2 linked regions of the Macaca mulatta genome follow. The protein of the gene in region 1 purifies or fractionates together with the protein of each later gene. This does not show direct contact. Links are inferred from orthologs where the notes say so. Each region holds a gene or a part of one and is shown on either strand. Other genes may lie near its edges.

Region 1 (3,824 bases):
CCTTGCTGAGGTGGAGTGGGCAGAGTAAGCCTGGGCTAGGACACCGGAGAGGGTGCCACTGGCTCTGCCACAGACCAGCCTGGGGCCGCTTGCAAGTCTTTTAATGACTCCGGGCTTTAGTTTCCTCCTGTGTGAGCTCAGGACACGCTTTGCAAGGTCGAACCAGCCAGTCCCTCACGTGGTGCATGTGGTACAGTGCTAAGCTGCTGTCCCTCCCACGCATGGTGGTGAAGAGCAAAGACCAGACCCAGGCAGCCACTGGTCACCTCACTTGCCTCTCTGTGCCTCAGTTTCCTCAACTCACCCAGGATTACTTTGAGGATTACATTCATCAGAATTTTTTCTTGTTTTTTTTTTAATCCAAAATGTGTTTACTGAGATGGTTTCCCACTCATCTTGATTCAGAGTGCTTTTAGTGCCGCTTCCTCCTAAAGGAACATCCTTCTGTAAGCCTTGCTTTTCCTCCTGTAGGCTGGCAGAGGACAGTGGAGCAGCCAACACACAAAACTACCGTTTGTGCATGGCTAAAGATCGTGGTGATTTTATAGCATCCTGGGCATTTCACATCCATGAAGTAGGAATTGGGGCTCTGCACCAGGCGTTTCTTCTTTGTTTCCTCTTCTCTTCTGGGAAGGGATGAAGGAGATCCTTTGCGAGAGGCATGTTCTCGTATGGGTAGGTCGTCACTGCCAGAAAGGAGCCAATTTTTCTTTTCTTTTTTTTTTTTTTTTTTTTTTTGAGACAGAGTCTCGCTCTGTCGTCCAGGCTGGAATGCAGTGGCCGGATCTCAGCTCACTGCAAGCTCCGCCTCCCGGGTTCATACCATTCTCCTGCCTCAGCCTTCCGAGTAGCTGGGACTACAGGTGCACACCACCACGCACGGCTAATTTTTTGTATTTTTAGTAAAGACGGGGTTTCACCGTGTTAGCCAGGATGGTCTCCATCTCCTGGCCTCATGATCCACCCGCCTTGGCCTCCCAAAGTGCTGGATTACAGGCGTGAGCCACCGTGCCCGGCTGAAATTTTTATTTTCACTGGAATTTGTGGTGGGGCTTCCAGAACTTAGCAATAAAGGGAGGAGGGTGGGGAATCCCAGAACGTGGCAGAGAGCAGCGGCTGGGGGTGACAGCAGTTGCTCTCTGGAGTGATTCTGTTTTTCTCTTGATTTCAGCCTCTTTGCTTTTTTTCCATTTAAATAAGCTAGAGTCAGTCTGTTTTCAGGCTCCTTTTGAAGTATGTTAACAATTGCCCAGAATAGAGCAACAGACAGGTCTCCCTGGTCTCCTGTGGGGGCCACGTGGTGGGATGTCCTTGACTCATTTTATTTTAAAATAATGTCTTTGTCCTTTTTGGGTTACTATAACAAACGTTCTGTCGGCTGTGTAGCTTGAACAACAAACATTTGTTTCTCACAGTTCTGGAGGCTAGAAATCCAAGATCAAGGTACCTGCAGATTTGGTGTCGGGTGAGGGCCTGTTTCCTGATTGACAGATGCCTCCTTCTCTCTGTCCTCACTGGAGTAGGGGTGAACAAGTCTCTTTTATGTTTATTTATTTATTTGTTTATTTTGGATGGAGTCTAGCTCTGTCACCTGGGCTGGAGTGCAGTGGCACGATCTCAGCTCACTGCAACCTCCACCTTCTAGGTTCAAGCGATTCTCCTGCCTCAGCTTCCCGAGTAGCTGGGACCACAGGCACATGCCACCACACTTGGCTAATTTTTTGTATTTTTAGTAGAGACAGGGTTTCACCATGTTAGCCAGGATGGTCTTGATCTCCTGACCTCGTGATCCACCTGCCTCGGCCTCTCAAAGTGCTGGGATTACAGGCATGAGCCACTGCTCCTGGCCTATGTTTGTTTATTTTTCTGAGACAGGGTCTTGCTCTGTTGCCCAGGCTGGAGTGCAGTAGTGCAATCATGGCTCACTATAGCCTCCACCTCCTGGGTTCAAATGATCCTCACACCCCAGCCTCCTGAGTAGCTTGGACCACAGGTATGCACAAGTGTGCCCTCTTTTCTAAGGGCACAGATCTCATTCCTGAGGGCTCTGGCTCCATGACCTGATCTCCTCCTAAAGGCCCCACCTTCTAATGCCATTACCTTAGGGGCTAGGATTTCAGCACATGAATCTGGGGACACAGACATTCAGTCCACAGCAAATGACAGTTGACTCAGCCTCCTCTTCATCAACAGCAACATAAGAAAGCAACAGTTAGGCAAGACCCATGGGTAGCCCGAGCCACAGGTATTGCCAGGGATGTGAGGGGTGTGAGGACCAAGTGCCCAGCTCCCTCTTCACTCATTTGTGTTCACATTTGATTCAGGCAACCTTAAGCCTGGGAATGAGTGGGCGTGCAGCGAGACCTGCTCCCCCATTCGCTGGCCCACCAGACAGGCTGCGGCTCTGACTTCCTTATGGCAATATCTATGACACCGCCAAAAGATGATTTGCTCAGTCTCTTCAGAACTTCCTGTGAAGTGACATTCAATGGTAGCATCCGTAAAGTGCAGTCACATTTGATCAATTTTCTTTGAGTCGCCTGTGAGGAAGGGCAGTGAAGGCATTCCCACTGGGAGCCCGAAGCCCACACCAGGGCGGGTTGGTAGCAGCTCGGAGCCCTGCCCGCCTTGGGGCGTGTCCCGGGAGAGCAGAGCTCACACAGGCTCGAGGGCTCGGCTCTTCTCGGCTGGGACCGAAGCACTCGGCGCTGCATTGGCACAGGCTGAATGATTAGGTTTCACTTTTTTTATGTCATCTCAGCTGACGACATTGATGTTGTGTTTGCCAGGGTCCCCGTCCACAGCACCCCAGTTAGACGCTCATCTGGGCCAGCACCACAAAGCCTGTTGAGCGCACGGCGTGCGTCAGCCTTGCCCACACCCGCCAGGCGGCGCTTATCTGGCCTTCCACCGATGACCCCCAAAATGATGCCCAGGGCCGTGGCCTCTCCCCTGTGTGTGCCGGCCCAGAGACTTTCCTCTGAGCCCCGCAAGAACTCTGCGATGAGGTAAGAGATGAAGGTGATAATAAGTTGGTCTCAAATTCCTAGGCTTGGTGTCCTAGACATTGACATACCTTTTTCTTGCCTTGCTCCAGGGTTTAGTGAAGTAAATAATATTTGGAAAGTTTTGTTTTCTTTTTTTTTAATTGCAAAGAGAAAATGCAATAGACATGAGCATAGAGGAAAATTAAAGGTATTACAAGGAAATACTGCCTGTAATTATCTGATAATCAATCTGAAAACCTAATGCTTTTCTAAAATTTGCAAATTATTGGCTGAGTGTGGTGAGTCACGCCTATAATCCCAGCACTTTGGGAGGCTGAAGCAGGCAAATTGCCCGAGCTCAGGAGTTTGAGATCAACCTGGGTAACATGGCAAAACCCCATCGCTACAAAAAATACAAAATTAGCCAGGTGTGGTGGCATGCACTGTAGTCCCAGCTGTTTAGGGGGCTGAGGTGGGAGGATCACTTGAGCCCAGGAGGTTGAGGCTGCAGTGAGCTGAGATTGCCCCGTTGCACTCCAGCCTGGGGGACAGAGTGAGACCCCATCTCTAAAAAATTAATAAAGTAAAATAAAATAAAATAGAATAAAATAAAATAAAATTTATCTAAATTGACCCAAGGACACATGAAGTAAGCCATAGCTGCAGCTCAGAAATAATTAAAGACTGAGAAAGGCACCTGACTCTGATGAAGTCACACCTCAGTCGTGTATAACTTTTGAAACAGATCATGCTGGTGTGTAAAGTTAAATATCTCAGCCGGGCACGGTGGCTCACGCCTGTAATCCCAGCACTTTGGGAGGCCAAGGCGGGCGGATC
Region 2 (2,497 bases), on another chromosome or scaffold:
GGCATGGAGGTAAAAAATCTATAGATGCCTTGACAAGAATTGCTTACATTTAGTTTCAGTGTAATTGAAGGCTAAATGAAGTGATATACATACTTTAATATAGAGCTGAACACCAAGAAATAGTTGCTCTTATTATTACAATAATCGTTTCATTCAATTATGTTAATTTTTACACTGAGGTGACCCACCGAGAATTCCTGGGCCATAGACACAGCATGGGGTTTCGCTGAATTTATAGCGGTACATGTCAGTGACTATCTAATATCTAGATCCTGATTACTGGGAGGTAGGAGCATTCTCCATTCCCCATCTGTCTATCTCCACACATAATTACAGCGTCTCCTTCTCTGTCATGCTGGACATAGAGTCTCATCCTTCATCTATTTTTACCCTTAAGAAAGAACTAAATATATAGTATCATACCATTCACTGCCTGTTCTAAGTTCTAGCAACATCTAGTAAACTATAGGAAACCAGGAATGAGATTAACTCCACTGTACTTTGCCATTTAACTCTCCGAAGTTGGGAACTTTAAGATGGCATTGCAGAAGCCCTTTAGCTTATTTTCCTGGTACTCTTTTTCTTACCGTGACCTTGGTGGGATTTAAGAACTAATATAGTCTTGTTTTACAATCAGAGTGACTGACGTCAAAGTATCATGTTCCTCTTCCATAACTCCCTGTGATCCCTGGTTCTTTTGCTTTTTCAGGTATGCTGTAACCCGAAGTTTGCGTTTAGCAGATGGACCTGACGAAGTTCACCTTTCAGCAATTGCAACAATGGAGCTGCAGGACCAAGCCAAAAAGCTGACAGCCAAGATGTAAGGAGAGTGGCACTGCCACATCCCACCGGCAGAAACTCTCCTTCATACAAACTTCACTGGCTCCAACATTTGAATCTCATATTTTTGCAGCAGTTTGAGCACAGGGTTAATTATTCACTTGTGGTAAAGATTATAGCATCTATTTTGATCAGTGGGTTTTATAATTTCAAGGGTCACACAGGGTTGAGTTCAATAAGAAATGCTGTAGCTGTTGTCATTCAATCTAGTGCCTTCTTGAGGCCAGGAGTTTGGGAGCAGCCTGGGCAACACAGTGAGACCCCCATCTCTACAAAAAAATTTTTAAATGAGCCAAGTGTGGTGGCACATGCTTGTAGTCCTAGCTACTTGGGAGGCTGAGGCAGGAAGATTGCTTGAGTCTAGCAGTTTGAGGTTACAGGAGCTGTGATCATGACATGGCCTCCAGCTTGGGTGACCGAGTGAGACTCTTTCTAAAAATAAAAACAAATAAAAAATAAATTTCTTCTTGGGGTGGGGTGGAGGTGGGGAGCAAGAATTTGGCCTGGGCTCTGATCCCTTGTGTGTTGTGGGCCTCTTTAACATTGCCACTTTGCCTTAACCTCACTGTACCTCACTTTACTTTGCATGCATTGGTGTTAATATTTTAATCTTAGAAGACGCTGACCCACTGAGGGTTTGTTGTGAGAGTCCCTGAAGCCATGTAGAAGCACCTTGAAATCTGTGAAACCACAATAAAGTACTTTATAAAAGGTATCCTTATTTGAAGTGGACAGATCTTACAACTCGAACTATTTAGCCTTATGATTAATTTTAAAAGTTGTGATTTAGAAGGCAGGATTGTTTTTGAACATTAGGAATTAAAGGCTATATCTGATCCTTACAGTTTTGTAATGTGTTTCTCTGTCTGAGGAAAGCGGGCTGGATTGGTTGCTGATTTGTTTTAGTTAATCTATTGTCATGTATCTGGCCCTCCCTAAGGCAAGTCACTCCATGTGATCTGTACTTACCTCTCTCCCTTCCCTGAATTTAGTCAGATAAAATTATGTTAAAAAGAACACCAAGGATTGTTTTGAAAAGGAAAAAAGTCTCCAAAGGATAAAGTGAAAAGATCAATATCAGGATCAGGGCCCCAGTCCTGGTGGGAGAATGGACTAAAGGTAAACTCCTCAGCATTGTGACCATTTCTAGGGCTATGTCTGTCACTGGGAGTCACTAGGCAGCCATTCATCTGGGACAGTCTGCCAGGTTTGCCATGTGTTTGAAACCACATGGTTTTAAAGCAAGAAACTGCCCTTTCTAATAATGAGATGGCAGGGAGGGAGCAGGGATGAGAGAGCTCACCAGTCAGGGCTCTACCATGAAGACCCCTCCAAGATTGCCAAGTGGTCTGCGACAGAGCCTCGACGAGGGGCCTTGAGACTGCCGGACAGGGAAGACACCATGAGGCGCCACACGAAGAGGTCATGGTCTTTCTCCAGCAAACATTTAGGATGCTCGGGGGTAGCTGTGATTATCCGGAGGAGGGGCTAGTTAAAGGTCTCTGGTAATTGACCTTGTTACTTTAAGAACACGCAACAGAAAGTTCAGCGGATTACGGAGGACTGATTTCCTCATCAGCCTGTGGTTATTGGTAAGAGCTTCTTCAGGGTGGGTCCTCATCACCCCAGCTGTTTCCATACAACTGTGGCTCACTTA

What was found.
Region 2: the proteins of GTSE1 (region 1) and ACAD11 purify together in Homo sapiens (co-immunoprecipitation; 3 studies listed by BioGRID and IntAct, counting the BioPlex papers as one, with this or other methods). This does not show direct contact. The link is inferred for Macaca mulatta from reciprocal best matches to the Homo sapiens genes GTSE1 and ACAD11.

What each region holds. Positions count from the first base shown.
Region 1 is NC_133415.1:5,151,185-5,155,008, reverse strand, and holds part of GTSE1 (G2 and S phase-expressed protein 1), read left to right. Parts: intron 1-391; exon of another isoform or gene 392-697; intron 698-2,789; coding exon 2,790-3,008; intron 3,009-3,824. UniProt on the Homo sapiens protein: May be involved in p53-induced cell cycle arrest in G2/M phase by interfering with microtubule rearrangements that are required to enter mitosis. Overexpression delays G2/M phase progression.
Region 2 is NC_133407.1:35,655,808-35,658,304, reverse strand, and holds the end of ACAD11 (acyl-CoA dehydrogenase family member 11), read left to right. Parts: intron 1-709; coding exon 710-824; 3' UTR 825-1,682; downstream 1,683-2,497. UniProt on the Homo sapiens protein: Acyl-CoA dehydrogenase, that exhibits maximal activity towards saturated C22-CoA.